4 linked regions of the Arabidopsis thaliana genome follow. The protein of the gene in region 1 purifies or fractionates together with the protein of each later gene. This does not show direct contact. Each region holds a gene or a part of one and is shown in the gene's direction. Other genes may lie near its edges. The genes, in order: MTHFR1, PDE345, GDH1 and GDH2.

Region 1 (8,795 bases):
TGTTAAAGATACATAATTTTAGACCATGCATTAAGAAATCTGAAGCCTCCAGCAAAATGATAATAATAACTACCTGTGCGAAGAGCATCTGGCCGCTTCGAAGCATGCAACCCCAGTTTACATCACTAGTATAAGTTGTGTCTCCAATAGGCTCAAAACCTGGAAATGCCACAGTGAGTATTCTGTCAACAGTTTTATGCTGGTTTGAGTTTGAGGGGGGGGAGCATACAAACCTCTACGATATGTCATCAGTATTAAGGATGAAAAATCTTGTCTGAATGCGGCCAATACACGGCCAGCATCTGCTTCTTCTGAGGATTCACCCTCTGAGATTTTATAACAGACACCCAGGAGCCATATCTCACTAGTACTGCTGGAAATACCCGTCCTACTCGGCCCTAATACACGGTCTTGAAATCTCCTAATTGCCCCGCTAGCCATAGAAGCTGTTTTTAAAATAACTGTCCAACTACTATGTGTGGTGCAAACTGGGTTATGCCCTGAAGTTGAAGCTTCCCTACACAGTTGAGAAACTGGGGAGGAAGAGGCAACCACATCCGAGCATAACGTCAAGTTTGACTTGTTATCACTAGACGCGGAATCTGAAACTAGAGATGTCGGGGATGATATATCACGCTTTTCACTTGTGCTTGATGAAGAACATTTTGAAGGAACAAATCTATCACATATAGCCTTCATTACCTAGTCATTAAGCACCAAATACAACATGTCTGTCTCATAGAAGAAAACTCATACCCAGAGAATCAACCTTTGTCTGCAATAATAAAGCATAAGAGATAAAAATAGATCAGGCTAAAATTGAACAGAGATACCTCTAATAATTACTTCTCAAAGTGAGCTAATGCATTATCTTCTATAATCTCACTATTACACTCCATTTCAATATGCCCCAAAAATCGAATTTAGGAATCAAAGATGATCTAATGAACACAACGAGTAAGATAAAGGTACTCGAATCCGATATGCACAATCTCGAAAATGAAGAAATCCACAGCAGCAATAGAAATTCGAGACACAATCATGCAATAAGTAAAAGAACTCCGACGCAATTTCTCCAGGGCGGATCTCTACAGTAATCTCAAATGATCAATCAGTCAACTATAAAATTGGCAACTAAAATCTCGTATATATACACCAGAAAGCATAAGAATCAAAAGGAACAAGAGTAAGAGCTCGATTAATCACTAAACAAACGCAGAGAGTTTCATAATCCGATCCGAGGAACGAAATTTTCACAACTTTTGGAATTTCTAGCAGAATATAAAGATAGATCACCTGAAAAAACAAATCGGATCGTTGAGGCTGACTTGATACGACCTCCGGCGACGAAGACGAGAACGAGAGTGCGAATTAACGGAGACGAAGTTTGAATTGCGGAAGATCGATTTCGTGTAACCTTACGAAATAAAAGTTTCGTGTTCTCTCTCTCTCTCTTCTCTATTTTACGTAATTATATCTTTTAAGCTTCGAATATGGATCATTACATTTTATATTAGCTTCGAATATGTTTTTCCATTGGCAGTATAATTTTGTCACTAGTTCGTATTTGTCAAATGTATCAGTGTTAAACTAAATTAAACCGGCGACTTAAACCAAATAAATTTTACCGGCGACTTAAACCAAGTAAAGCAAATCGAATATATTGTTCAAAAAAATTCCTTGTGCGTTGAATATCTTGATATACAGAATATCAATTTTACGGTAAAAAGGAGTAATTATTTAGTTACCAATTGTGAATGATATAACTGTCTGGAATAAATGCAAATGACTAGTAATAAATTAATTATTTTGTTACCAAAAACAAAATGGGTTTGATTGTATTGGGCCAGTCCAAAAATCTGAAGCCCATTTATGTCTTTAAACGGATGAATGGAAATAAATCGATATTACTCTTTTACCCTTTTAAGCCGATTTATTGCCTTTTGCGCAGAAGGATTTCAAAATCCTCAAAAGGAAAAACAGCAACTGCCGCTCTTTCTCCGTTACGTCTTTTCACTCTCTGCAAATCGGATCCGCCACTACAAATTCATCATCATCCTCGTCTTCTTCTTCTCTTCAAATATTAGGCTTTGAAAAGTTTCAACATCAAATTTAGATCTTTCCCAATTAATCCGGTCTATTGCCATGTCTTCCTCGAAGAAGGTTACGTTCGATTCACAATCTTCATTTCTTCTCTTTATGAAATTATTTCTCGTATGATCTTAGTTTTTCTCTGATTTCAGGGTTCCGATCGGAATCAAATCAGGAAGTCGTTGAGGAAGTTAAAAAAGCAGATTGGGGAATTGGAGAAACTTGAATCTCCGGATCGGTTGAATAATGTGAAGCCTATCTTCATCAAGCGCAGTATCCTTTTCTGTTGTCACAAGATGCTATTTTTTTTTGTCATACAAAACTGTGGAATATTATTTGTTTTCACATGACGAGCTTGGTTTTAAGATATATACTTGAAGAAGAAACTCAAGAAGAAAGTTAAGGATCATGGCATATTCTGTTCTTGCTCCTTGGATCCTGGTTCTTCAACTCTTTGTGGCAGCGATTGCAATTGTGGGTATGTTCCATATCTGATCACAAGTACTTGTCTGACTAAATATTCGTGGCGGCATTGGTTCTGATTGTTGATGTATTGTTGGTTTTTTCCTTGATGTATAGGATTCTACTCTCAAGCTGTTCGTCTAGTTGCAAATGCAGTAGTGAATGCACCAACAAGCCGTTCCAACAACGACATATCAAGAAGATGAAGTTAGTTCAGGTTGGTTTATTACAATTTGTTGTCTTATATAAAGAATGCATTTTCAACGTTAGTTGAATAAGTTGTTGCTTGCAGACAGAGAAATGTGGATATGGGATTGTAGCAGATGAAGATATCAACTCAGGAGAGTTTATCATTGAATATGTGGGAGAAGGTGATGTTATTACCTTTGGTTTCTCATATATAGTTAGAGTACTGTTGTGATTACTCTGCTTACTCTTATCAATCTTCTTATATCCATTTCTTATTGTAGTTATTGACGACAAGATTTGTGAAGAAAGGCTTTGGAAGCTGAATCATAAGGTCGAGACAAATTTCTATTTGTGTCAGATAAACTGGAACATGGTGATTGATGCTACTCACAAGGGTAATAAATCAAGATACATCAATCACAGCTGCAGTCCTAACACAGAGATGCAGAAATGGTTCGTTTGTAACTTATTATCCATCTTCTCACTTTTCTTCTGTTCAAAACAATTGAGCAAAGTTATAGATCATGAACCTTTTTGTTCCCATTTAGGATAATTGATGGCGAGACAAGAATCGGCATTTTTGCTACCCGTTTCATAAACAAAGGCGAGCAGTTGACTTACGATTACCAGTAAGAACATTTCCTTGCATCACAACAATAAAGTATTTGAATGTAAATGTTTAGTTGTGTGATACTAATAAATATAGCAGGTTTGTTCAGTTTGGTGCAGATCAAGATTGCTACTGTGGTGCAGTGTGTTGCAGAAAAAAGCTAGGTGCAAAACCTTGCAAAACTAAGAACACAACCTTAGAAGAAGCTGTGAAGCCAGTGGCATGTAAAGTGACCTGGAAAACGCCCAAGGTAAATTTGAGCTTTGCCTTACTTTTTTTTAGTCATCCTGTGATTGCTAAACAGTAACTTGTCCTTTCAAACATATGGTTAGGGAAAAACTCGAGGGAGACGCATTGCTGGTTAGTATTAATTATTTGGCTCGATTATCGACAAGCTTCTCAATTCAGAGGTAAGAGAAACCAATTTGGATGCGTCAGGACAAGCTTGGAACAATCATAGCCAGAGGAAAATATGTTGCCGGGACTGCATTGGTGCGGTGATCTGGTTAGCACGTCCCATGAACCAAAAGTATAACTATCTTTCTTTTTTTCTCAAAAACCAATTTCTTCCACACCAAAGAACAGTATTACACGGCTCAGATGAAGGTTTTGACTCTAGTAGTTGACATTTTTCAGGTGTTTTGGAATCATTACACAATATGATGAGTTTTAAATAAGCACTTGGTATCTATTCATTTGACTTATTGCCAACACTGTTGTTCACATTCTATCTCAGTTTACGAAATCTAAAGAATGAACATTGACTTTGTCCAGGTCATGTATGAGGATGGTGTTACCGAGATCATCGACATGTGCAGAGAAGTTTGGAAGGTTGTAACTGCTTGATATTGTGACTGTTCCAAGTCTGATTTCATTCCCTTACATAGGATTACACTTGAATTGTCAAGAAATTTTGTAACCAACCAAACCGTGTCGGTTGGCAAATAGGTTTAGACTTTGTTGTTGTATGTATCCAACTTGAATCAGTAGTTCAGTAGTACATTACACTGTATGTGGAATCTTTGGACCAAATAAAGAAAAGTGTTTTTGGATTTTAAACCGGGGTTTTGGTTATTTAAGAGACAAAAAATCTCATACCCGGTTTGCTCTGTCTATAACTCGAGTTTGTTAAGCACGTGATTCTCCTTGGCAATGCTGCTATATCACTAGCCTACTGTCCGTTGTAGCGGATGATACCCACGCGCCGGTGACCGACAGTGGATTTGCCGTTACCGGTGGTAGGTAATGTGGGGTCGTAGCTCACCTACCTAACTAAATTTTCTTTTTCTTATGTTTAGTTGGAAAATAAGAAAAATATAAAAACTAGTTTTTTGTAAAGGAAAAGGATAAAATTACTATTATGGAAAAGATAAATTCCAAAAGTGAGGAAATATGTATTTAGCACAATAAAAAGTGATAGCAATGTGAGAAAAAAAACGTGATAACAGAAATGCTGTGCTAAATTTGGATTTCTTTGTTGAAAATATATTTACATTGATAAATATTATGTAATTAGAAAAAGGAAAATTCAAAATAGATGTGTAGAAAAACAACAATGTTGATAATATAATTTTTTATCTAAAGTTTTTACCGGTTACCAGTTACCACCAAAGTTGTTGGATCTCTATCTTCATTTTTAGAGATTAGTATAAATGAGTGAGTAAACAAACCAGAGAGACCAAACTTGCCTCTCCACCACCACTTCCTCTACCTATCTAATTCCGAATCTGGATTTGGATTTGGATCTCATTTCGATTCAACGATGAAGGTGGTTGATAAGATCAAATCCGTGACGGAGCAAGGCCAAACAGCTTTCTCCTTCGAGTTTTTCCCACCGAAGACAGAAGATGGCGTCGAGAATCTCTTTGAACGAATGGATCGATTGGTCTCTTATGGACCTACCTTCTGCGATATCACTTGGGGTGCTGGTGGATCCACAGCTGATCTCACTCTCGAGATTGCTTCTAGGATGCAGAATGTTATCTGCGTCGAGACTATGATGCATCTCACTTGTACCAACATGCCGATTGAGAAGATTGATCACGCGCTTGAGACGATTAGATCTAATGGAATTCAGAATGTGCTTGCTCTTAGAGGAGATCCTCCTCATGGACAAGATAAGTTTGTTCAGGTTGAAGGAGGATTTGCTTGTGCTTTGGATCTGGTGAATCACATTCGTAGCAAGTATGGTGATTACTTTGGAATCACTGTTGCTGGTTATCCTGGTAATCAAAATGCTCCCTTTTAATCAATTTCATTGTTGGTTTCGTTGTTGTGATTTTGATCTCTAATTGGGGATTTGTGTGTTATGAATCAGAGGCTCATCCGGATGTTATTGAAGCTGATGGACTTGCTACTCCTGAATCTTATCAGAGTGATCTTGCTTACTTGAAGAAAAAGGTTCAGATTTGTGTCTTGGTTTTGAATTTTGTGTGTTGAATTGTTTGTGTTGTCTTGATTTGATGGGTTTAGTGGATTGTGGCTTGTGGTACAGGTTGATGCTGGAGCAGATTTGATTGTGACTCAGCTTTTCTATGATACTGATATATTCCTCAAGTTTGTGAATGATTGTCGGCAAATCGGGATTAATTGTCCCATTGTTCCTGGAATTATGCCTATTTCCAACTACAAGGGGTTCTTGCGTATGGCTGGTTTCTGTAAGACCAAGGTATGTTGTGATCTCTTTCATCTGTGTGATGATATGGCTTGCTCTGTAGACACATGTCGTCTTTGTGCTTAAAGGCTTTAAGATGAGATTGAGTTTACTGCATCTATCTAGTTGCTTGGTGATATATATATAGACCCTTGGTGATGATGCCTTATGACTAATGTGTTCAGATATCATTTTTCTTTGATTTATATTCCACTCATGATTCTATTATTGCATAGATACCCGCTGAGCTCACTGCTGCCTTAGAGCCTATTAAGGATAATGACGAGGCTGTTAAAGCCTATGGAATTCACTTTGCAACAGAAATGTGCAAAAAGATTTTGGCCCATGGAATCACTTCCCTTCATCTCTACACATTGAACGTGGACAAATCAGCTATTGGGATATTAATGGTTTTCTTCTCATTTCCTTCTAAATTGGTTTCTGTGTAGTAATATTTAACACATGGTATTGTGTATACCGGAGAACCTAACAGTGGTGCTCAAATTGCAGAACCTTGGTCTGATTGATGAGTCAAAAATTTCTCGTTCTCTACCTTGGAGACGCCCTGCAAATGTTTTCCGTACTAAGGAAGATGTTCGCCCAATTTTCTGGTAACCTGCATTTTGTTTCTCTTGCTCGGAGTATTATTACAGATCTTTAACTTTAAGATATATTTGCGGAGGAATAATACTGTTACTTCATTTTTTATCTTTGCAGGGCAAACCGTCCAAAGAGCTACATATCTAGAACAAAGGGCTGGAATGACTTCCCACATGGACGTTGGGGTGATTCACACAGTGCAGCATACAGTACACTTTCGGATTATCAGGTACGTACCACATATTTATCAGTTTTCTGACATATCGACTTTATATTTTGAAAACTTGAATTCTGAAAGGCTTGTTTTCAGTTTGCCTTCTCAATTTGCTTAAATTGTATTTGCATATTGTTATTTAGCCCTACCATTATCACTTGTAAGAAGCTGCTTGCTTTGCTTGCCATCTCTTCTGCGTTTTTCATTGCCAATGAGTAGTGCTGATATAAATGCATGTGTTGATAGTTTGCGCGCCCAAAAGGACGTGACAAGAAGCTTCAGCAAGAATGGGTCGTCCCACTGAAAAGCATTGAAGATGTTCAAGAGGTAGGCTTTACTTTACGGACACTCGTACAAATTGTTTCGATCTCTTTCCCTCATACTCACTTGCACATTTTCATGTAAAAACTGTCACAAATCAGAAATTCAAAGAGCTCTGCATTGGAAACTTAAAAAGCAGCCCATGGTCTGAATTAGATGGACTCCAGCCAGAGACAAAGATCATAAATGAGCAACTCGGAAAAATCAACTCCAACGGTTTCCTGACCATTAATAGCCAACCATCAGTCAATGCAGCCAAATCCGATTCTCCAGCTATTGGTAAGAAAACTCAAACTTGTGATCACAAAGCATACCATAACGTTCCAAAAAAAAAAATCTTATTTGACTTGTGATTCATCTGTCATTTCTTAAAAACCTATTTAAACCCTCTAGAGCTTCTGTCTTAGCTTATAACATAATGTTTAAATTGCATTGGGAATATCTACTTGGCTTATAACAAAAATGTATAATTGCAATTGATACTTTGCAGGATGGGGTGGTCCTGGTGGTTACGTCTACCAGAAAGCTTATCTGGAGTTCTTCTGTTCAAAGGATAAGTTAGACACACTTGTGGAGAAATCCAAAGCTTTTCCTTCTATCACCTACATGGCCGTGAACAAATCAGAGAATTGGGTATCAAACACCGGTGAGTCCGATGTGAATGCAGTTACTTGGGGAGTGTTCCCAGCTAAGGAGGTTATTCAACCGACGATCGTGGATCCAGCCAGTTTCAAAGTCTGGAAAGACGAAGCGTTTGAGATTTGGTCAAGAAGCTGGGCTAACTTGTACCCAGAAGATGACCCTTCTAGAAAGTTGCTCGAGGAGGTAAAGAATCTTCTTCTTTTTTCTTCTCTTCTTTTCAGTGACCAGATTGGTTTAGCTGTAATGATGATGGTATGATCCAATCGAATATGCAGGTGAAGAACAGCTACTATTTGGTAAGCTTAGTGGACAACAATTACATCAATGGTGATATCTTCTCTGTCTTTGCTTGATCTCCGAGAAAACCACCGGCGAAGAGGAAACATTCGATTTCGAGATTTGTTTTGTACCTTTTAAAGTTATTTTTGATTCGTAATAACCTTACTTTGATGAATCAACAAAAACATCAGTTTGATTGCAATGAAAAAAATCGCCTTAGCGGTTTGTTCTTTCTCTCTTGTGTCAAAACAACATCACAAAATAGCTTTTAACAGAAATCAAGAAATGTTGGCATTTCTTAAAGACTTGGAAGTAACAAGACCAGAAGATGTCCGCATCAAATGCTCCTTAAGCATTGAAACACCAGACGCATCTGTCTTCAAAAGTGGTTGCACCAATTCCCACATCTTCTTCTTTTGAACCTGAAACAACAAAGAAAACACAGAACTTGAATATGCCATGACTTAAGTCTTGCAGTACTGAAATGATTAGTGCTTTGCAGGCTAAATGACCTTATTAGGAGGTGCAGGTTCAGGAAGCTGCTCGAGATCTTCTTCGTTACCAAACCAAACTCTATCTCCAGGAACAGAGCCTTCTGGTGGAACAAGAAGCTCAACATTTTCATGAGCTGCGTCAGATGCAGCTAAAAGCATACCACATGACTTAACCCCTCTCATATTCCTCGGCTTCAGATTAGCCAGCACCACCACTGATGCACCCTGCACAGAACCAAA
Region 2 (7,620 bases), on another chromosome or scaffold:
TTAGTCCACAACAATTTTTATTTTTTATTTTTTGGAATCCGCACTATTACATAATATAATTTATAAATAGTAAATAAAACACGATTTGGTATATAGACATTTTTGTCTTCTTAAACCGCTATAACCATTCAAAGTCTAAGTTTTAGTTATTTTCTTGTCGATTACTCATATATATTGATCAGTTTTCAGAATTTCCCAACATGGAAAAAGTATCAATTGTCGACCTTTGTTATATTATTTACAAATCCCCCAGCTAGCTAGTTAAATAGTATGTTTCAATTATTTTACTCATTCATAGTTTCATTTAATTATATGATATACTTAAGTGTAGAACATTGGAGAAGCATTTTTGGAATATAAAAAGGAAGTGGGCGGTTTGTGATTAATTCTTAATTAACAACTGACAGGGAACCAACTAATTAAATTATCCATCCTTTGTGAGAGATTGTTTAATATATAAAGCAATTCATAATTTGTGAACTTGACCAAGATTTTAGCACGATCCTCGCTTCGCTTCTTGTCTCCCTTGTGACGCATATCTAATATAAACATAAATTCATTATGTATCATGTATGTATGATCTTAGTTCTATATTGACGCAAGAAAATTCAAGTATTTGTTCACTTCGTGCTACCTATGAATGTACATAAATTTTTTTTAAAAAAATATTTGTTACTAACGATCATATAAGATAGTATTAAGTTATTCAGAAAACATAATTAAAATAGAAATTGAAGGTGTAGGTGTGTGGTTTAGTCATCGATATAGCCAACCAGTGACAACCACCTCGACTCTCTTTGACCTAATTATTTGACCACTCCTTCCACTTTACATCATAAAATCTGAAACCACTTACCATCTCTCGTCACATAGCTAGCAGACGATCGTCTTCATTATGTGGTTGTGACTCTCATTCTAATGTAATCCTGGTAAAAATAGCATGCGAGTGTCTTATCGATCCTCGTTGTTTATATGATTAAATCATTTATTATAAAATAAACAAAACACAACTAATATTTTTTGCATTAAAAATTTAAAATATTTTAGGAGGAGTGATTGTTTCGACGAAAATATATTTTATATAGTATGAACATGAATGAGTAAAAGGTAACTCATTTTGGTGTGTGTGTCAAATTTTGATTTTAAGTTTTTTTTGTTTGTTTGTTAAGTGTATCAACGAATCTCTAGTTCTAGCTTTGATACCAACTGAAGTAGCGGAAGTTTTAATGGATAGAACTAGACATCCGTTGATTCCTCGGAATACCAGAAAACTAGAATTTTTTGGATCTGTTGATTCCTCAGAATAACAGAAACGAGAGAACGTAAGGAATTCGTTGATTCTCTTCGAATACCGAATCCTACATCTTTTTATAACCGTTGAAATCTTTCAAGATCTACCGAAAGCAAGGAATTAGAGAATACTCTTCTCTGAAAAGGTAAAAGCTTAATTTTATTAATCAATTAACTGAATACAATTTTAAGTTCAAAAGTCTTAATTATAATAAATCCAAAATTTTAGAAAATTCATAAAACAATAAATAAAAATTATCTAAATAATTAAATAAAAATATGAGGAAATAATAAAGACAATTTGAAATTATCCAAATATATACTGCATTAGGTAGCATGCGGCTTGCAAGACTATAGTATTTGTTTTAGAAACTATAGGTCTATTAGCTAGACAGAATTAAGAGCTATAGAAAAGTTGTTAAAATTGATAATGCGATGCTTTTTCACATAACTCAAGAAAACCAAATCAAGTTCCGATCCATCATTGTTTGTCGACCAAGGGATGATCAGTCGATAGGTCCACGTACGTTGTTGTTTAAATGAAAATAGTTAACATGGATGTAAATTTAATAAGTAAACAATGAAAATGACAAATGAAGTAGAGAAGATGGAGAAAACAGGACCAAGGGCTTGTAAAAGAATTGCCAAATAAACAACAACGTGGTCCTATCACCTTCTGCTTCTCCCTACGCACCAACCAGTCAACCATACTCAATAGGTTTCATTACAAGACAAATAACACACTCTCTTTTGTCTTTTCTCTTTTTTCGAATGGGAAACACTGACTAGCTTTGTTTGTATATTTAAATCGTTTCTAACAGAGAGAGCGTGGCGAAGTGTGAACACAAACACCTAGAAAGATCTGAGAGTCAATTCTTCTGGGTGACATATGCATGTGAACTGTATGAAGACGCGTTTTGGGGTTTATCGTTTAAAAATCATTAGATATGTGACTGACCAAAGTGTTAATCAAAGATCTGCACCAACACCTTTTACATATACTATATTCTAATACGTAGAGGCAGCGTAGAACACTCTAGAAGAAGTACTAGGTGAATTATGATCGATATGCCATTCATCTGAGAGCAGAGAATGGAACTTTACGCATGTTTAATTAAAACAACTTTCAAACTTGTCTTAAAATATGAAAATTACTAGTTCCTACTCTGATTAAGATAAGATTGGCATTATATTCATATTCTTGTACCTAATATATAATTGAAGCACTTGAACATATTTAGTCATATAGTCTTGAATTTTGTTGTTGTTTTTCCCTTTTTTTGTGGGGTCAAACTGAGTTGCTGTAAATTTGAACATACATATGAATATGCATTTAAATTGTGGCCAACAGTTTTAGAAAACTGTTATCAAATCAAAGATACTTTAAAAATACAAAAAAGTAGTGTAAGATACAAGAAAGAAAAAGTTGCCACTTTCTCATGTCGCATATATATAACGTTTCTCGGAACTTGCATTTTCTCTCTTCTTGTTTACACCTTCCTCGCCTGTTACGAGTAACACCAATATTTGGACTTATTGGATGGTTGCCTTAATAAAAAGGAAAAAAAAAAAGAAAAAGACCCAAGAACACCAAAGCTGTCGTGGGCTCTTATTGTTTATCTGAAACTAAGCCCTATTACTATTGGGCCCAAAAATCAATTACGTAAAAGAGTTTGCCTGTTATATAAGTTGTTTACTATTGTGGCCCAACAGATAAAAAAGGGAATATCCGGCCCATTCTCTTTCATCACACTCCTTGAAGAGGTGATAGGTCATGTAATTTGATTAATTAAGAAAAACGATTGAGTTAGACGAAGAGGCAATGGTAGGAGAAGGATAGTTTGGGTAGACGAAACGGTAGAGTTTTGGTTATTCTCAGATTCTTGTTGTTGAGAGACTGATGAACTACTAGAAAAAATTACCAGTATCTCCCTCAAGGTTAAAAGCGTCATTTACGGTAAATTGGGGAATAAAATGGTAAAGAGAAGGAGGCTTTTTGGTGGTGGGAGTAGGTGATGCCAAAGTAGACGACTACTAATAGTAGTAAACAAAACCTTTGGCTTTAACACTCTCCTCCAAATCCCAGATCTCTCTCTGTCTCTGTCCCGCGGAGTCCCCGAGAGATTGATCACCATCACTTTTGTACCTTCCTTGTACTACCTATGGCGTCTGCTAGCTTCGTTAAGCCTAACACCCTCTCTTCTCCATGGATCGGCCAACGCTCCTTTGCTCACACCTCTGCTTCTTCTTCTCCTCCTCCTCGAGTCTCCTTCGCGATCCGCGCCGGTGCTTACTCCGACGAGCTTGTTAAAACCGCCGTGAGTATCCTCCTTATCCTCTCTCTCTCTTTGATGCTTTATTAGTTTGGATTCGTTTCCGTAATTCTCAAAGTCAAACGTAGAGTGAGATTCTCTGATTATTGCGTAATAGAAAAGCATTGCATCCCCTGGGAGAGGTATCTTGGCGATCGATGAGTCCAATGCAACCTGTGGGAAGAGGCTTGCTTCTATCGGCTTGGATAACACCGAGGACAACCGTCAGGCCTACAGGCAACTTCTGCTTACCACTCCTGGCCTCGGCGATTACATCTCTGGTTCCATTCTCTTCGAGGAGACTCTTTACCAGTCCACCAAGGACGGTAAGACCTTTGTCGATTGCTTGCGCGATGCCAACATCGTCCCTGGCATCAAAGTTGACAAGGTATTTTTTATCCATTTATTCTGTCATCATCATCATAAGTAGTTGAGTTTTTATGTGTGTTGAGTGAAGTGTTGACAATGCAATCCACCGCGTAGGGCTTGTCTCCCCTAGCCGGTTCCAACGAAGAGTCTTGGTGCCAAGGCTTGGATGGATTGGCCTCACGCTCTGCTGAGTACTACAAGCAAGGCGCTCGTTTTGCCAAGTGGTATGTCATATATTTCACCATGTTATCTTACATATGGTATTAACTCTTTGGTTTGATGTGAAAATGCTCTTCCTAGTTTTGATGTTTGTGTGTGTTTGTCTAGGAGGACAGTGGTGAGTGTTCCCTGCGGTCCTTCAGCACTGGCTGTGAAGGAAGCTGCGTGGGGGCTGGCTCGCTATGCAGCCATCTCTCAGGATAATGGTCTTGTCCCCATTGTGGAGCCAGAGATCCTTCTGGACGGGGACCACCCAATAGAGAGGACTCTGGAGGTGGCAGAGAAAGTGTGGTCAGAGGTGTTCTTCTACTTGGCACAGAACAACGTCATGTTTGAGGGCATTCTGTTGAAGCCGAGCATGGTCACCCCAGGCGCTGAGCACAAGAACAAGGCCTCTCCCGAGACCGTTGCAGATTTCACGCTCACCATGCTGAAAAGGAGGGTTCCTCCGGCTGTCCCAGGGATCATGTTTCTGTCAGGAGGACAATCAGAGGCAGAGGCCACACTGAACCTGAACGCCATGAACCAGAGCCCAAACCCATGGCATGTGTCCTTCTCATACGCACGTGCCCTGCAGAACTCCGTGCTCAGAACATGGCAAGGCAAGCCGGAGAAGATTGAGGCCTCGCAGAAGGCACTGTTGGTGAGGGCAAAGGCCAACTCACTGGCCCAGCTCGGCAAATACTCAGCCGAGGGAGAGAACGAGGATGCCAAGAAAGGAATGTTTGTCAAGGGTTACACCTACTGATTTGTTAATTTCAGAGATCGTAATAAGGATTAAGGACCATTGTTGTCTTTTGTTTTTTTTTCCCTTTTTTGTTTTGTCTCTGAGAAAGAAAGACAGTCACGAGTCACGATCATATCATATATGTATGTGAGCAACGTGAAAACATCCTCTTAAATCTATATTTCCTCTCAGAAAGACTGATTACTGTTTGACTGCAAAACCAAATTGTGTAATTCTTCTTTTAAGTTTACAAAATTTTTGGAGGGCGATTAGGTAAAATTGGCATAGTTGCAAGTTCAGTGTTAGAAGAAGCAGCGGAGATCTCTCTCCCTCTTTATAGTTTACTTTTGACTTACAGTAGAGAGAGTTTAGAGTTTTGAATTTGGCTCCGATGACGAATCGTCTTCCTCCTTCGCTGTACGTTCCGCCTCACCAGCGCCTTGGTTCCGATTACGGCTTCAATCCTGTTCCTCTCTCTCCAGTTCGCTATGTCTCCGCTTATGATGACCGCGTTTCCGAGGATCGCCAACCGGTTAACTTCTTCTTCATCTTTTTTTCATGCATCTCTGAGCTTTTTGATTGATGCTCTTACAATGGCGATTCTAGTTTTCGATTTGCTCTCGAGTAGCATTTTATAAAAATCCCTTTATCTTTCTACTGGAACCATATCAATTTGCAGCAGGAGGGTACCTTTCACTGTGCCGACTTGGATGATTGGAATAAGAGATTTTCAATGCTTTTGAAAGATTCTTTAAAGCAAGAAGTTATTTCCAGGGAGAAAAAAGATAGACGGGATTTTGATAAACTTGCTGCTCTGGCTACAACCCTGGGATTGTATAGGTACATCAATCATGCTGCTCCTTTCTTTCTTCTTTCTCACTAGTACAACCATTTCTGTTTCTTTTTTGCAGTCATGCATATGCTAAGGTTGTTGTCTTCAGTAAGATCCCACTCCCCAACTATAGGTTTGATTTAGATGACAAGAAGCCACAGAGGGAGGTATTATCCGCTGCTCCTCACTCTCTTCTCTTACACTTAACGCAAGACGGCTTGTTTTTCTTTAAAGAGCAGATATATACAAAAATATTTACAGGTGAATTTGCATACTGACCTTCTTCAAAGAGTTGAAGCTTACCTCACAGAATACCTCAGTAAAAGCTCTAATAGGATAGATAGAGTCCCTGCCAATTCCGTCTCAAGAACTAGTAGCATTAGCAGTACTGATGAATGGTTTTCTGAGCAACCACTACCCATCTCTGCCACCAAAATTCTTTGGCAAAGGAGTTTGCAGCTGCGTGATCGACAACAATATTGGCAGGTTCTGTTTATATTAGGTCCTTAATATATTCTTCATCTATGCTTTTTCATCGTCCATTTAGTTTTGATGTGTTCCATTGATTAGGCATCCGTAGAAGGCCAAAGAATGTTGGATTCTCGTACAAGTCTCCCTGCTTTCAAGCAAAGGCATTCAGTATTGACAGCTATTTCACAAAATCAGGTCTGCACAGAAGATAACTGGAAGCATGCTTGAGCTCAGTCGTGTGACATCTGTGTCAAATAGAAAATCGAATATCAACTTGACGGTCGTCTTGGTTTTGTATTAGTTCCGATTACCCACATAAATTTTCGTATTGCAGGTTATTGTTATCTCTGGAGAAACAGGTTGCGGCAAGACCACACAAATCCCGCAGTTTATTTTAGAATCCGAGATTGAAGCAAACCGTGGAGCTTTTTCCAGTATCATATGTACTCAACCAAGGAGAATATCTGCTATGTCTGTTTCGGAGAGGGTTGCTTACGAGAGAGGAGAGCAGTTGGGTGAATCTGTGAGTTTCACCCTGCATGCTCCTATATCTAGTTAGCGTGGACCCTTCTTATACTTTGAATTCCTCTCTTTTTTACTGATTAAGCTCTCTTGCTTTTTTCTTACTTTTTTGTGAAGGTTGGATATAAAGTTCGATTGGAAGGTGTTAAAGGAAGAGATACCCGCTTACTCTTCTGCACCACAGGCATTTTGTTGAGACGCTTGTTGGTAGATAGAAATTTAAGAGGAGTTACTCATGTTATCGTGGATGAAATTCATGAGCGTGGAATGAATGAAGGTATGTATACTTTTGCTATCAAGCAGCTCCTCATTTTTAGCTTAACTTGATTTAGGTGTCTTACTATATTACTTTTGTATTTTAGATTTCCTTCTTATCATTCTTAAGGATCTGCTATCTCGTCGCTCAGAGCTTAAGCTGATTTTGATGAGTGCAACTTTAGATGCGGAGCTTTTCTCGTCATACTTTGGTGGGGCAGGTGTCATTTATATTCCAGTAAGTAAGAAACATATTTGTTTATCCTCTTTAGAACATTTCAAGATATTTAATCTTTTGCTGAGTTCAATATTCCTTGGATCTATATGCTCTGATTAACCCCAGTGAAACTACTAATATTGTCTTCTTCACTATAGGGATTTACATATCCAGTTCGTAGTCATTTCCTAGAGGATATTCTGGAGATGACCCGGTACAGATTGACTCCATACAATCAAATTGATGATTATGGTCAAGAAAGAACGTGGAAGATGAACAAACAGATCCCAAAAAAACGGAAGAGCCAAATTACCTTTGTCGTTGAGGTATCTAGAAAAAGAATATCAGCAGCTTAACTCTACATGTTAGGTCCTCATTTCTTTTTCCCTTATGCAAACAGGACGCA
Region 3 (7,809 bases), on another chromosome or scaffold:
TACATTGGAAATTCAAGAATCATGGAGAGTAACCAAACCTGGCTATACACATTGGCCTACTAAAGATACTGGACGATGCATTAATGGAGTTATCTACTATAAAGCTATTATATTTGATAGGGTTCCAAGGCATGTTATATTTGGCTTTGATCTCAGATATGAAGAGTTTACACATATTGAGTTTCCGATGCGTAATTATGACCGCTTTCTTATGGTATCTTATGAGGGAAGGTTGGCTTTGATAAGTTCCACTAGCTCTGTTGTTGAAATCTGGAGTTTGGAGGATGCAGGGAATCGAAAATGGTCGTATGAACAGTTTCATTTATGTCTTCCTCCCAACACAAGTCTGAAGGGTGTTATTGATGCTGGTGAGCTTATTTACACAGGATTTAGTTTGAATAGATCGTTCTGTGTTGTGTATTTTGATCCTAAGAAAAACAATATCAGAGAAACCAAGTTTCAAGGAATTGCGGATAACCAGATTTGGCAACCTGATAGACTTGGATTTGATCTTGTGAATGACTTTTATGTATTACCAAATCACATTGAGAGTTTCATCTCGTTTTAAGAGATTTCATCTTTTTGCATGGAATGACACTATATATTTCTGAAGTGTTCTTCAGATCTTTTTTTGTATCCACTGATTGATTGATCCCACTGGAGATCCCAATATGTTTTAATGATGATACTACATATTCTAGAGACTTAATAGAAACTTTATAAAACTATACATGGAGAGACTGTAATATGTGTTTTTGAGATTGAACCTACGATTCCTCTGTTCTGTTTCTAGCAATTTCCATGTGATCCTTTTCTCAAAAATAGAAAAGAGACTTTTGTCCTAAAGTTAAACAAGTACAGAAGAAGTACTTGAAATCTTCACTCAGACGATTAGAGCTTAGAGCATACGAAGATTAGCCTTAGTTACTTGCAGTATGAATTCAACATTTTGAGACATGGATCTCTGTAAAATTGACCAATATAGTGGTTTTATTATGGTACCTTATGAGAAAAGATTAGCCTGGATAGCCACAAATTCATTGATATTGGAGGACTTGGCTAAATTTGGGCGCTATTAGTCTATTACTAATGCTAGTGAATTTATTGTGTCATGAACTTTGATATTATTAGCAGTTTTAAGAGCCCTCAGGACAATAACATTTGGTAATGAATGTAATAACATCCCTTACATATTAGTGTTATAACACTATCTAGTTTACTCTCAATTTGGATGTGAGAGACCAATAATCATAATTCATAACAACTGATTTTGAGAAGGGTTCTGTTTTGTTTTCCAAAGAATGACACATAGCTAATTATATATGCAAGTTTATGATTCTCTGATAGATTCTTCTTGTTATGATTATCCGTTCACATTGAAGGGCTTTGTCATAATTTGATTTTTCTTTAGTTTGAATATATCGTAAGTCCTAAACATGCATGTCTTATTAAACAATGTGGGCTCTGCTCTGAAGACTATTGCCTACATTTATGCTATCTACTCAATCCCTTAGGAGTTATGGCATTTAGTTTCCAGCTGATGATATGTAGAACATTCATAAGCGAGCTCAAGATTCTACAATACGTGTATAAAAGATGAAGCCTAAGCTACTACTAGGCTGCATCGGTCAAAACACACAAGCCTTGTCTTTTTGTTTCTTTTTCTTACAAAAACTTTGTCTCCTACAGTGACTTCACCACCAACACCATCACTGACAAACACTAATAATGAAAGACCAAATTCGTATCACAGAAAGATAAGACTGAAAAATCAAAATGTTTCAATAGCATTAGCCTCCAGAAGAAATAACAACAGTCGTTGTACTTGTATCCTAGCTAAAAGCAAAATGTAATTGATTTATTGCGAATTAAACTCTATCTTGTTACAAACTTTAACAAAAGTTTTAATATTTTGAATTCCGTACATGTAAATGGAAGCATATTAATTGGGAAAACAAAAGAAACATAGTGGATAAGATTGTTTACAAGTCAACACACACCAATTTAGAAAAATCAAAGAAATCCCGATTTGATGCGAACATGACGACGCAACCATATCTCTCCAAATCAAAAGATTATGTGTGTCACATTCCCCACTAATTTCACTTATATCTAGCATAAGATGCCATATAATATACATGTAGTATGTAACGTTTTGAGAATGTTCTTATTCGGCGAGATTATTTTTCTGACAATACATAGCACAATGTTTAGTTTTCCCAAACTATATAATTGGAAAATTTTCCAATGACATCTCAAATATGTCGACATATCCAACCGTAATTCCGTAAATAGGAACAAAAACATCCAAAGAATTTAAGTCTAGTTGATCTCAAATTTTAGGCAAGTTGCAAATAAACACAAGTATATTTTAGTTGAATTATACAACTAAACTCAAAAGTACATGTTGTTCCAGAAATTAAACAGATAGACAGTTAGTTGGTAAAGATTTAATTAGTTGATTCAAAAAAGAAAAAAATTTCTCGAGTTATCTTAAAGTATGTTTGTCTTAACTTATCAAAATTATATCTAAAACCCACTTAAAGGCTTAAACCATGATTATTGTGTCTTGTCTTTTTTTGTAATTAAATTACTTAATCAGCTCCACCGTAATCAGCTGGACCTCCACTGAATCTTACCCAAACATATCGATCACGTGCCTGTGTATAAATAAATACATACACACTTAACAAGTTACAATCAGACTGACACCAATCTTCCTCTTTAACAGTCGTTTTATTACAGCGTTCTGATCAAAACTCCAGTGAAAGTTCAAAGTACACAGAGAGAAACAAAAAAAGAAGAAGAAGAAGTTGAAGAAGAAGAAGCCATGAATGCTTTAGCAGCAACAAACAGAAACTTCAAGTTAGCTGCTAGGCTTCTTGGTCTGGATTCTAAGCTCGAGAAAAGTCTTCTCATCCCCTTCCGAGAAATCAAGGTTCGCAAATTTTCACTCCTTTCTTAACCTAATTAACCTTGATCCGCTGATTTTGTGCCTTCGCCGGCGCCGGAGACGATTCGTCGCGGTGGATTGTAGTGAAAAATGATTACTGAATGTTTAGGGGCATTTCGAAACCCGACCCGCTTTTTTGTGGATCCAGTTACTTCAATCCGGTTGCTGAATTATATAACCGGAACAAACCAATTTAAATCAACCGGTTCTGGTATTTTTGTAGGTGGAATGTACCATACCGAAAGACGATGGTACACTAGCATCATTCGTTGGGTTCAGAGTTCAACACGACAATGCAAGAGGTCCCATGAAAGGTGGAATCAGATATCATCCTGAGGTTTTTGACCTTTTGACTTTGACCTTTTGAACCAAAACTCAAATGTAACAAACCAGTATACAATTTCGGTTTTGGTATATGATGCAAACCGGTTATCGTTTTCTTGCAGGTTGATCCGGATGAAGTGAACGCATTGGCTCAGCTCATGACATGGAAAACAGCAGTGGCTAAGATTCCTTACGGAGGAGCTAAAGGAGGGATTGGTTGTGATCCTAGCAAGCTCAGTATCTCCGAGCTCGAGCGGTTGACTCGAGTTTTCACTCAGAAGATTCATGATCTCATTGGGATTCATACTGATGTTCCAGCTCCAGATATGGGCACTGGTCCTCAGGTTCTTAAACTCTCTTCAGAACGTTTCCAAAATGTTCTGTGTTTTTTTTTGAAACCATCTTTCAACTTTTTCCCTTGGTGGAATTTGCAGACAATGGCTTGGATTCTTGATGAATACTCTAAGTTTCATGGATACTCGCCTGCAGTTGTGACTGGAAAACCCATTGTAAGTAAAGAATAATCACAATCTTGTTTTGCTAATGACTGGTTTAACCACCTGAATGTTTAATGATGTTTATGAACCAGGATCTTGGTGGATCGCTAGGGAGAGACGCGGCTACTGGAAGAGGAGTGATGTTTGGTACCGAAGCTTTGCTTAACGAGCACGGAAAGACCATATCAGGGCAGCGTTTTGTCATCCAGGTGACCTTTCTTTTATTGCGGTTTCCTGCGAGCCAAAGAAACTTTTCTTATTCTGGTTTACATATTGGTTCATTAGGGATTTGGTAATGTGGGTTCTTGGGCGGCAAAGCTGATAAGTGAAAAGGGTGGGAAGATTGTTGCCGTGAGTGACATTACCGGAGCAATCAAGAACAAGGATGGTATCGATATCCCGGCCTTGCTCAAGCATACTAAAGAACACAGAGGTGTCAAAGGGTTTGATGGTGCAGATCCGATCGATCCAAACTCCATACTGGTTGAGGATTGTGATATCCTCGTCCCTGCAGCACTTGGTGGTGTCATCAACAGGTTAGAGCTTTTTTTTGCTACAAAAGCTTACATATTGTTTTGAAACTTTTTAAAAACTATTAGTTGGATTTTGGTTTGAAGGGAGAATGCGAATGAGATTAAAGCAAAGTTCATCATAGAAGCAGCTAATCATCCAACTGATCCGGACGCGGATGAGGTTTGATTGTCTTCTTCTTTGACTTTGGAGTTTCTCATTGCGAATCTCTGTAATGGAGATTCTTGTATTACAGATCCTAAGTAAGAAAGGTGTGGTTATTCTCCCGGACATATATGCAAACTCTGGAGGAGTCACTGTAAGTTACTTCGAATGGGTTCAGGTATGTATGAGTCTCTCAACAACTTACCTTTGACAGACCAAGTACTCGAACAAAACCGATTTTGATCAGATTAGTTGTTTCCGGTAATGTGCAGAACATTCAAGGCTTTATGTGGGAGGAAGAGAAGGTGAACGATGAGCTAAAGACTTACATGACTCGCTCTTTCAAGGACTTGAAAGAGATGTGCAAAACTCACTCTTGCGATCTCCGGATGGGAGCTTTCACACTCGGTGTTAATCGTGTGGCTCAAGCTACCATTCTCAGAGGCTGGGGAGCTTAAAGATTATCTAATCTCTTATGCAATCTCTTTAGCAGCTCCTGAATAAGAATTGAGCCAAACTTTAATCTACTTTTTGTTTTATCCTCCTACTTTGGCTTAGAGGTCATCCTGAGTTAACAGATATGTGTTTACAAGTACTAGAAGACGCTTCTGTATGTAATAAAACCTTGGACTCTAATAGTTAATGAGCTTTTTTACTCTCTTGTTAATAAAACCAAGGTATCAAAAAACTAGAACCAAGAAAACAGTTATCATCAATATGGTTCTTAAAAAAAGCAATTTAAAGATAGCTTAAGGCTATAGAATATGAATCTAGGCCCTCCCTCGGCCTCTGAAGCCTCCACGAGGACCACCTCTTGGTTGAAACCCTCTGCTAGCACCTCTGGGAGCACCTCTACCTCTGAAATTGCCTCTACCACGGGGAGGCCCTCTACCACGGGGAGGGACTCTTCCTTCACCACGGCCTCCTGATTGTCCCCTGCAAGAAGAACAGAACAAAGACTTTCGTTACAGACTTTTTCTAACACTTGAACAAGTTTCTTCTACTACTTCAAGGGACCTAAGAATTGGTAACAAGGGTTAAGAAGTGTAGCTTACTTTGGTTGAGGAAGGAATCTTGATAGAGGTAAAAGCTTCTCAGGGCTAATGAAGAACTTATCGCCTTGACTATATGAGGTAGCTACAATACCTTCCCTCATTTTGATAGAAAATAGCTGAAAAAGTAAGAACCAATGCTTTGTATATTAGTGAGCAAGGCCAGTGAACGAAGAAGACAACAGAGAGAGAGAGATAACACATACAGATTCATTAATAGGACCAAAGATTTCATCTACTCTCCCAATCTGGGTCTTGTTTTGTAGGTAGATTGGGGCATTGAAATGTGGGATTTTCACATTGGAGAGCTTGAACACAGCATCTCCCTCACAAGCATGGAGAAAAGTTGCAACTTCTGTATAACACCACCAAGAAAGAAACTCTATCATAACAGAGACAATTCACAAGTTTGTTCCTTTTCAATTAACTTCAAAACTGTCACAAGAATCCAACAAAATCCTAATAACAGGAAAACAAATCATCAATCAGAATACAAAAATTTTCTTTTTGTCAAATTTCAGCAACAAACGCTCATTAATGTCAAAGCTGACAACTTTTTTCAATAATTTTTATCTGCTTGATTGGTAAGAATGAGAGAATCGTCAAAGAGGGTTGAAAACGAACCAACGACTTCGCTGGGAGGTCCTTCGTCATAATTACCACCACCAAAGCGTCCACGTCCACGTCCACGTCCACGTCCACGTCCGCCGTTATCTCTTCCTCCCCTTCCCCTGAAGCTGCCGCCGCCACGTGGTGGTCTCATCTTTTTGGTTTTGGTTTCTTCTATCGCTCTCTGCTCCTCAGAGGTTTTTATTTAGGGTTTCAGCGAGGGAAGCAATTGCCAATTGGAGTGTTGAAGAAGTAGTTGTGACTCTTAATAACGAAAAGAAAAAAAAGAAGGTAAACCACTAGGGTTTTCAGCAATCCCAGACCGGGTTACGACTCGTTAAACCGGGAAGAGATAAAATTTTCTTTTAGTAAATTTGTCAATAATTTTTGTAAAAATTTAACAAAAGATTTGAATAACAATGAGATATTATTTTATTTATTTATGCTTATGTCGGTTTAAGTTTGGTTTGGCTTTCTCACATTTCATTTATTTTAAACACTTGAAAGTTGAAACAAAGACTCAAACAAGGCAAGTGATACCAAAAAGTAAGCACACTTGAAGGCTTAAAAAGCCCTCAAAACTTTCTATTAAAACTAATTCAACTTCTCTGTTACCATCTTTTCTATCCTTTTATACTTCTACATACATACGAACACGCATCCATTTCATTACATTTAACAAACAGGTTGCGTTACCTTCTTGATCGTATTATGATCCTTATCCTCCAATTGTCTTCTTGGCTTTCATATGATGCTAAGTACCTCAGCAAACTGTCCTCCCAAAGCATATTGATGCAATGTACAGATTTTTCGCCCATTTTTCCTGCAAAATCAACCAACACCGGGCAGGTCCTGATCAGTATTATGGAAACAAAGCAAAAGTCCAATCTTTGTTCAAAACTAAAGAAACCCACCTTGACATGAGTGCTTGGAAAGGCGGTGGTGCGAAGAGTCTCTTGAGTTTCATCCATCATTTTACGTTTTGGTACGCTTAATATGAAAGCTGCTTGATCTGCAGTTGCTGCCATTGATGTTATCCTATACCCACTTTCCCACCTCCTATGTATTCCATCGCTTGGGTACAAAAAGTCGAGCTCCACGACCTTTTCACACAATACCAACCAAGAGTATCAGGAAAAATGTCAAAATGTTTAAAGATTATGTCATTCTAAGGTGACGGGATTGAAACCTACCTGATCAGAGTAGCCAGAATTCCTCGACATTACCACACCCCAACGATTCCCAGCAGTTGTCATGGAGGTTACATGGAAATCTTCTTTCCATTTCTTGTTTATCCACTTGAAAGGAAAAGAGTCGCTGACTTTGTAAGATTGCTGAGTATAAGACGTTCCTACCAATTTACAACAAGCACAAAATTAGTAAAGAAGACTCCATGTTATATGGTTATAATGAAAGTACGACATTTTCTATAGTCAAGTGTTTGTGTGACATAAAAATTTGCAGATTACTACCATTAACACCAACCTTTTGACATAACAACTAATGAGTTCCCGTTATCTGAACCAGCTATGGAACTGATATAGTAGTTCTTTTCCCATTGTTCCATAATCCAGTCCTGCCAAGAAAATGCAAATGGTGAGTTAATATAAAATTGATTGATTCCTATATGCTTCAAGCGATTATTACCTTGTGAAGGAAGACAGTTGACAATTCATAAACTTGAGAGGTGAATCCAGTC
Region 4 (7,890 bases), on another chromosome or scaffold:
ACTTGGGTAGGGCTTGGATGAGCCACCCTAAGGTCGTCTACTCCTACACTGAAATGTCTAGTGTCGTCAACCCATCTGGATGGCAAGAGAACAGAGTGCGTGCGCATGACAAGTAAGTGTATCAATTTCACATTATATGATTATGTGATAAGAAACCAACACTAATATATAAGCATAATTTAGTCATTTCCAATTGAGTTAAACAGTCATAATTTCTCACATAGAGATATTGCAATAGTTTCAGTTTGCCCCAAAAAGAAAAGATATTGCAATAGTTTTTACAAGTTTAAAATGTGATTTGTGACAGTGCGAACCAACCATTAATAAGTAATATTTTTTATATAATGAATGATAGGACGGTGTTCTATGGAGAATACATGTGCACGGGACCAGGATCACACAAAGCGAAGAGAGTGGCACACACACAAGACATTGACAACAAAGAAGCTAGCCAATTCCTTACCCTCGGCTACATCAAGGGCTCCAAATGGCTTCTACCTCCTCCCGCTTACTAAACAGACCCAATCATCACTAAAATTCTGTATATGTTACAATTGTACGTTTTGTTTTCGAAGTATCCTCTCTTCCTGTATATAATGGAGGAGTAGAGACTTGTGTAATTTTGGTTTCATGATAATAAAATACTCAATGGTTCACAAATGAGAAGCGGATAAGAATTCAAACATACTGATTATTGTGCATGGATAGAGTGACGCGACTGATTAATGTTATGAATGACAGTATATTTGTATGCGAAATTGCGAACACATTAACTATAAATATTTTCTAGTTAATGTTAAAATGATTGGGGACAATTTCTAAACAAAAAATAATATGGACATTACTTTCTATCATTTTTTATGTTTGATATTAGAACTCGTATTTTGGTAGAAAATTGTTAACTTGTGATTTAAAAAAAAAAACTGAAGAATCACATTTTTAGCAGATGGTTGTGAAATTACGTTTTTGGTTAAAAATTGTAGATTCACAATTTTGTAAAGGAAAATCACGGATAGCTTTTTATTGGTGGAACATTTTGTAATCTTTTTCTATTATTATAAAAACTTGATAATTGACATTACCGGTCTAGTAGAAATAAAACACAAAATTTGAAGAGATATATATAAGTTCGATCGAAAATCACGGCCAAATGTGGGAAGCGTCATTGACGTAAAGCAAATCCAAATTTAGGAAGTGTCATTTTAATTAACATTGAACTACTAACCACTCCTGTCATGTCTAGCAAATTTACATTCAAACATAAATTGTGGTTTAGGTCCTTTTCAGGTAAATCTATAGATAGATATATAGCAAATTAACAACATAGTTCCTTTTGGATGAGTCAATATTCAACATGTTGATTTTGCCAACTGTAAATTTTCCTTTTCGTTGATGGTTACAGATGAATGTGCGAATTTATCTCCATTCAAAATTACTGAATTTGTAATAATAACAAAATCAGATATTCAAAAATGCTTCAAGAAATATAAACCACAGACGAGAATAGTAAAAATGAGATATGTCCGGTCAGAGATCAACAAGCAAGACAAGTATAAAAACCCCTTCAAGGCTTCTTCATTTCTTCCATTTTTAAAAGTAAATAAGATAGTAATATTAACACTTAGTTTTTCTTTTCCTTTTCATTATTTTCTTTTATTTTGTAACAGAAATAAAAGAAAATAAAAGAAAATAAAAAGATGGGTTACATTTCAATGTCCGTGGTTGCATTCCTTGTTGTTTTTGCTTCGCCGGTGGTTCTAGCCACCGATACAGATCCGATTCCAGAAAACAGAGCCCAAATCCCGCAATGGTTTAAAACAAACGTTAAACCATATTCCCAGAGAAAGGGCACGCTAGACCCCGCCCTCGAAGCTGCTGAAGCAGCGCGACAAATTATCACCGTAAGTTACTAAAATCTGATTTTTGGTTTGGTTCGGTTCATATCGATTTGACCGAATTAAGTAGGCGTTGTTAAATTTTTGCTTATATGAATAGTTTACAAATGTATGTTAACTCGAGTGAAAAATGAAAATCTCATTGCAGGTGAATCAAAAAGGTGGCGCTAATTTCAAGACATTAAACGAAGCTATCAAGAGCATTCCGACAGGAAACAAGAACCGTGTGATCATCAAGTTGGCTCCTGGTGTATACAATGAGAAGGTCACAATCGACATAGCTCGACCATTCATTACATTGCTTGGTCAACCTGGTGCGGAAACGGTCTTGACTTACCACGGGACAGCCGCTCAGTACGGAACCGTTGAGAGTGCAACTCTTATCGTCTGGGCTGAATATTTCCAGGCAGCTCACCTCACCATTAAAGTATGAGAAGCATATCTATATTCGTTATACGTTACTACATTACGTTAGAGATTAATCGCTACTAATTAATTTGATTTTGTTATACTATAGAACACTGCTCCAATGCCGAAACCAGGTTCACAGGGACAAGCTCTAGCAATGAGGATCAACGCTGATAAGGCAGCTTTCTATAGTTGTAGATTCCATGGTTTTCAAGATACTCTCTGTGACGACAAGGGCAACCATTTCTTCAAGGATTGTTACATCGAAGGAACTTATGATTTTATCTTTGGAAGAGGAGCTTCCTTGTACTTGGTAACCTTAAAATTAAATATTAGACATCTTTTAACATGGTACACATATATATAGCATTTTTTTGATATTAATAGTACATATATTTGTATGTAAACTCGATAGAATACGCAATTGCACGCTGTTGGAGATGGATTAAGAGTGATCACAGCTCAAGGTAGACAAAGTGCAACCGAACAAAACGGATACACGTTCGTGCACTGCAAAGTCACTGGAACCGGAACCGGAATCTATTTGGGCAGGTCTTGGATGAGCCACCCTAAAGTCGTCTATGCTTTCACAGAGATGACCAGCGTGGTCAATCCATCTGGCTGGAGGGAGAACCTCAACCGCGGATATGACAAGTACGTAACATTTCATATCATCTCATTTACATATAGAACTACATTTTATATATATATTTGATTATAAACTGAATTTGATATTGTGTGTTGTATAAATACAGGACGGTGTTCTATGGAGAATACAAGTGTTTCGGACCAGGGTCACACTTAGAGAAGAGAGTGCCTTACACACAAGATATTGACAAAAACGAAGTTACGCCTTTCCTCACTCTTGGTTACATTAAGGGCTCCACATGGCTACTTCCTCCTCCTAAATACTGAAATTTTTCTTAAGACAACTTATTTGTTGTAACACCGTTCTTTAATTTATAATTGAAATGTTCCCATCTTTTTAGTTTCTTTATTTTTTTTTTGTATTGCTTAAGATATGAATTGATCAATATTTTTTCTACATATATAAATCTTCCAATTCATTCATTTCTATATATACCGGATGTTTGTGGTGTTTTTGTTTTCCTTTATTTAGAAATTCCTATAGGATATATATACAAAATTTGTTTTTGTAAAATATCATAATTATGTTCACACCCTATTGAGTTAATGATTTGTTTTTGTTTTTCTTATGTTAAACGTTCATGGTATATATGTTTAAAGTACCAACAAAAAGAAAGAGTCAATGTCTATCCATGATATATATGCTTTTATTAAACATTTTGATTATTTTAACCAAAAAAAAGTAGAACACACACATTTTCTAGATCTCATCATTTTAATAGTTCTAGTTGCAAATGTTAAACTTCAATATTTTTCGTATATATATGAATCAGCTTCTTCTTTCTTTAATTTTCTCGGCGAATTAGTATATTTTAATCCATAAGAGATGCATGCATAAATTTTATTGAATTAAGTGAAGACCCAATGGTCAAAAGAAAAAAAAAATATAGATATGCACCGACGAAGCCGCCGCGAGTAGCCGCGTCACAGCCAGGTCAGCAAAAAGTCGCCATCCAATTAAAGAAGAGAAGGATAGCAACTTCTGCAACGTGTTCTGCTGAGTCTGACTTAGATTCGGAATCTGGTTCTTACGATTTAATGACCATCCGATTTTCAACGGCTAAGATTGTTTAGAACCATTAGTACAATATTGTCACATCCGCAGAGAATCCACGCCCCTAAATGAGCTTTACTTCCATGTTTTTCGCATCTCCTCGTGATAACATCGACGATCAATTTTTTTTCTTTCACGTTTTGTTGATATATATAAATACGTTTTCGGAAATGTTTTAAATAAATATTGTTGGTCATATTCTATAGTATATTCGGATTAAAATCATTTTTAATTTCACTAATTATGGAGAGATATTCCTAAAATGCCTTAGTATTTAAAGAATGCGAGTCAATTGCACTAGATGCATGTTTTTATTTTGTTTCTAACGTGGACCTTATGTAAGCAGGTCTGAAGTTTATCCACAATTTGCTGTACTAATTGATAACATTTGTATATGTATTCCAAATATGAAATGTCATTAAATGTCTCATAAAAGTGATAATACAATACTGTATTTGGGAAAAATAAATGAGTCATACAACATAGTAATCAACAAGGTAAAAAGTCATATAACGCCGTCCCCAAAAACAGTCTGTCCCAGCTCCATCCTAATTGGGTATCCACGTCCCGATCCTGTCACAGGACACCAGTAAGAAAACGGAAACCGAAAATTTCAAGAAACCAATATCGTTTTCTTTTCCTCAATTAAAGTTATAAAAAAAAAAAAATCCCTGAAAATATCACATGGTTTTTTAAAACAATTAGTGTTAAAATCAAAATTTACTACCTTCTCCACCGTTATTTACGAATTTACCATGTTGGTATATTCTTAAAAACTTTTGTAGTTCTTGTAATTACTAAATTTTTTTTCCGTAATTTTTTCGATTATTATTTATAACTTTCCAACTCAAGCCAATATTTTTTTAGTAAATTTTAAAGGAATGTTAATCTTCTAAAGATATGTTTGACTTAAAAAGGAGTTAAAAATGATGAGATAGCCAAAAAAAAGATTAGAGAAATCCAAATAAATAATAAGGGGTAAAAGAGTCATTGCAGTCGATAATTAGTCTCCGTCTGACGTAGGATACGTCAAAAATATCCGATCTCATTCAAATTACGCTTTCTCTTCTTTCCCCTACAAATACTCAATTCTTTCTTCTTCAATTCATCACAACAAATCAAAAACTCCAAGTTCTTACCTTTTTCCCATTTACAATCGGTAAATTTCTCCGATCACGAGATACAAATTTCACTTTCTGATATCTTGGATCTTCCGATCACTTTGAATTTTTTGGTTTGTTGATTTTTTTTTTTTTTTTGTTCCATAAAGTTCGAATTTTTTATAGAGAAGAAACCATGAATGCTTTAGCTGCAACAAACAGAAACTTCCGTCATGCATCTCGAATCCTGGGTTTGGATTCGAAGATCGAGAGAAGTCTTATGATCCCATTTAGAGAAATCAAGGTTTGACTTTTTTTTTTCCTTTTGAGGTTTTACTCTTTTGTTTCGTTTTTGGGGAAAATTCGTCTCAATCTTTGTTTGGATTTTTTTACTTTTGATTTCAGGTTGAGTGTACGATTCCTAAAGACGATGGCACTCTGGTTTCATACATCGGATTTAGGGTTCAACATGACAATGCTCGTGGACCCATGAAAGGTGGAATCAGATATCATCCTGAGGTAGGGTCTTTTATCATTTGTTCTTGATCTAGGATTTAAAGTTGACAACTTTGGGGGTTATAGATTGAATCTAGGGATTTGAATTAAGGGTTTTGATTTTTTGGTTTGAAGGTTGATCCAGATGAAGTTAACGCACTAGCTCAGCTGATGACTTGGAAGACTGCTGTAGCAGATATTCCATATGGTGGTGCTAAAGGTGGAATTGGATGTAGTCCTCGTGACTTGAGTTTGAGCGAGCTTGAGAGGTTGACTCGTGTGTTTACACAGAAGATTCATGATCTTATCGGTATTCATACCGATGTGCCTGCTCCTGATATGGGCACTAACGCTCAAACCATGGCTTGGATTCTTGATGAGTACTCCAAGTTTCATGGTCATTCCCCTGCTGTTGTCACTGGAAAGCCCATTGTAAGGCTTTTAAGATTTTGGTTATATCATTCTGAGTCCGGAATCTGTTGTTTATTCTATGGATGTTTTCTTGATTTGAATTAATTCGATGTTTCTATGTGATTACCATAGTTTTGAGCTTTTTGGTATAGAAGTAACTGTTGGATCACTTTGGTGTAGGATCTTGGTGGTTCATTAGGTAGGGAAGCTGCCACAGGTCGTGGTGTAGTATTTGCCACCGAAGCTCTTCTTGCTGAGTACGGGAAATCGATTCAGGGTTTGACATTTGTTATTCAAGTAAAACCATTATCAGCTAATCTCAGATCTCAAGCTTTATTGTGTATATGATATAAGACAGAAATGTTGAGAGATTTGGATGATATGTGACAGGGTTTTGGGAATGTTGGAACATGGGCTGCGAAGCTGATCCACGAGAAAGGCGGTAAAGTGGTTGCAGTAAGCGACATTACTGGTGCAATCAGGAACCCTGAAGGTATCGACATCAACGCTCTCATAAAACACAAGGACGCAACTGGAAGTCTCAATGATTTCAATGGTGGAGACGCTATGAATTCAGATGAATTGCTCATTCATGAGTGTGATGTTCTCATTCCATGCGCTCTTGGTGGTGTCCTGAACAAGTCAGTTCAAAAACTTCACTCATCAAATCAACACCAATCATAGAGATTCACTTTCTGATTCTTATATTTCCCAATATTTGTTCAGGGAAAATGCTGGAGATGTGAAGGCAAAGTTTATAGTAGAGGCAGCTAACCATCCAACAGATCCAGATGCTGATGAGGTAATGCATCGATAACACAAGAACTCATCCCTGAAACTCCGAAAATAAAAATCCTAATCTGTTTGGTTTTGGCAGATTCTGTCGAAGAAAGGAGTGATTATACTTCCAGATATCTACGCAAACGCAGGAGGAGTGACAGTGAGTTACTTCGAGTGGGTGCAGAACATTCAAGGATTCATGTGGGAAGAGGAAAAAGTGAACTTGGAGCTGCAAAAATACATGACTCGAGCCTTTCACAACATCAAGACAATGTGCCATACTCATTCTTGCAACCTCCGTATGGGAGCTTTCACTCTTGGAGTTAACCGAGTCGCTCGAGCCACCCAGTTGCGTGGTTGGGAAGCTTAATTCAGTTGAATCCCCCTTATATACTCTGTTTCTTGCTTGCTCTGTTTTCCATTTTTTTTTTTTTGGTTTCATTGTTACTGAAAATCATTGAGCTTTCCGAAATGGAAAAGGAAACAAATGGATTGAATAAAAACTAACAAATTGGAATAAAATATATGATTGGATTAAACGAGAGTTTCAAAGCAGAGGATGAAATATTCCAGGAAAAAAAAAGCCCAAATTTTAGTTTCATCAGTTGTGTGGCTTGCTACTTCATTATTATTATTATTAAAACACAAATAGTGAAACCAAAACATTTATTAAAATCGGTTACATATTACTGGAATTCAATTTGAAGTTCTCAAAAAAATTGTTACATTTCCGTTAAAAGGTTCCATTTGTTAGATGATCTAGTATTCCAATGTATCAAACAGCACTGGTGACTTGACTATTACGATGATCTTCGTCGTACAAATTCTTTAGAAGATTCTTATGAAAACTTCTAACTAAAAAAGCAGGTTCCAAAAGTGGAGAGTACATCGTCCTCATAACCATCTCTCTTTGAAGTGAAGAACAATAGTCATTATAAGTAGAAATTGTCACATTCAATTGGAATCCAATTCCAAATAAGAAGTCCAGCTCTAACAAGTTCATCTCCTCTGTGGTTATTCCTCCAACTTTCGCATAGAATGCATTATTGTAACACCTATATTTTATAAAAATTCAGATAATATTTGTTAGAAAATTGTC

What was found.
Region 2: the proteins of MTHFR1 (region 1) and PDE345 fractionate together in Arabidopsis thaliana (co-fractionation; one large-scale study listed by BioGRID). This does not show direct contact.
Region 3: the proteins of MTHFR1 (region 1) and GDH1 fractionate together in Arabidopsis thaliana (co-fractionation; one large-scale study listed by BioGRID). This does not show direct contact.
Region 4: the proteins of MTHFR1 (region 1) and GDH2 fractionate together in Arabidopsis thaliana (co-fractionation; one large-scale study listed by BioGRID). This does not show direct contact.

What each region holds. Positions count from the first base shown.
Region 1 is NC_003074.8:22,146,189-22,154,983, forward strand, and holds MTHFR1 (methylenetetrahydrofolate reductase 1), read left to right. Parts: upstream 1-4,975; 5' UTR 4,976-5,114; coding exon 5,115-5,577; intron 5,578-5,669; coding exon 5,670-5,752; intron 5,753-5,846; coding exon 5,847-6,020; exon of another isoform or gene 6,021-6,241; coding exon 6,242-6,415; intron 6,416-6,515; coding exon 6,516-6,616; intron 6,617-6,722; coding exon 6,723-6,834; intron 6,835-7,065; coding exon 7,066-7,146; coding exon of another isoform or gene 7,147-7,224; exon of another isoform or gene 7,225-7,241; coding exon 7,242-7,419; intron 7,420-7,630; coding exon 7,631-7,965; intron 7,966-8,055; exon of another isoform or gene 8,056-8,057; coding exon 8,058-8,135; 3' UTR 8,136-8,295; downstream 8,296-8,795. Other genes in the region: AT3G59950 (Peptidase family C54 protein), read right to left, coding at 74-159, 234-699; histone-lysine N-methyltransferase ASHH4, read left to right, coding at 2,146-2,163, 2,244-2,364, 2,458-2,569, 2,671-2,770, 2,846-2,924, 3,024-3,195, 3,291-3,371, 3,452-3,602 and 3 more; AT3G59980 (Nucleic acid-binding, OB-fold-like protein), read right to left, coding at 8,340-8,483, 8,574-8,780. UniProt on the Arabidopsis thaliana protein: The probable reversibility of the MTHFR reaction in plants suggests that they can metabolize the methyl group of 5,10-methylenetetrahydrofolate to serine, sugars and starch.
Region 2 is NC_003071.7:92,324-99,943, reverse strand, and holds PDE345 (Aldolase superfamily protein), read left to right. Parts: upstream 1-3,080; 5' UTR 3,081-3,452; coding exon 3,453-3,608; intron 3,609-3,720; coding exon 3,721-3,990; intron 3,991-4,085; coding exon 4,086-4,195; intron 4,196-4,298; coding exon 4,299-4,938; 3' UTR 4,939-5,217; downstream 5,218-7,620. Other genes in the region: AT2G01130 (DEA(D/H)-box RNA helicase family protein), read left to right, coding at 5,309-5,449, 5,597-5,757, 5,829-5,916, 6,011-6,235, 6,320-6,415, 6,555-6,743, 6,860-7,019, 7,105-7,235 and 2 more. UniProt on the Arabidopsis thaliana protein: Plays a key role in glycolysis and gluconeogenesis.
Region 3 is NC_003076.8:6,003,342-6,011,150, forward strand, and holds GDH1 (glutamate dehydrogenase 1), read left to right. Parts: upstream 1-2,693; 5' UTR 2,694-2,830; coding exon 2,831-2,938; intron 2,939-3,176; coding exon 3,177-3,290; intron 3,291-3,399; coding exon 3,400-3,621; intron 3,622-3,711; coding exon 3,712-3,786; intron 3,787-3,866; coding exon 3,867-3,983; intron 3,984-4,059; coding exon 4,060-4,310; intron 4,311-4,391; coding exon 4,392-4,467; intron 4,468-4,540; coding exon 4,541-4,627; intron 4,628-4,721; coding exon 4,722-4,907; 3' UTR 4,908-5,219; downstream 5,220-7,809. Other genes in the region: AT5G18160 (F-box and associated interaction domains-containing protein), read left to right, coding at 1-568; AT5G18180 (H/ACA ribonucleoprotein complex, subunit Gar1/Naf1 protein), read right to left, coding at 5,220-5,385, 5,505-5,620, 5,708-5,856, 6,126-6,264; AT5G18190 (Protein kinase family protein), read right to left, coding at 6,874-6,933, 7,025-7,213, 7,304-7,461, 7,596-7,686, 7,758-7,809.
Region 4 is NC_003076.8:2,350,852-2,358,741, forward strand, and holds GDH2 (glutamate dehydrogenase 2), read left to right. Parts: upstream 1-4,907; 5' UTR 4,908-5,301; coding exon 5,302-5,409; intron 5,410-5,510; coding exon 5,511-5,624; intron 5,625-5,735; coding exon 5,736-6,032; intron 6,033-6,191; coding exon 6,192-6,308; intron 6,309-6,401; coding exon 6,402-6,652; coding exon of another isoform or gene 6,653-6,695; exon of another isoform or gene 6,696-6,737; coding exon 6,738-6,813; exon of another isoform or gene 6,814-6,888; coding exon 6,889-7,161; 3' UTR 7,162-7,390; downstream 7,391-7,890. Other genes in the region: AT5G07420 (Pectin lyase-like superfamily protein), read left to right, coding at 1-112, 356-515; AT5G07430 (Pectin lyase-like superfamily protein), read left to right, coding at 1,698-1,901, 2,044-2,322, 2,413-2,616, 2,719-2,957, 3,059-3,218; CYCP4;3 (cyclin p4;3), read right to left, coding at 7,567-7,846.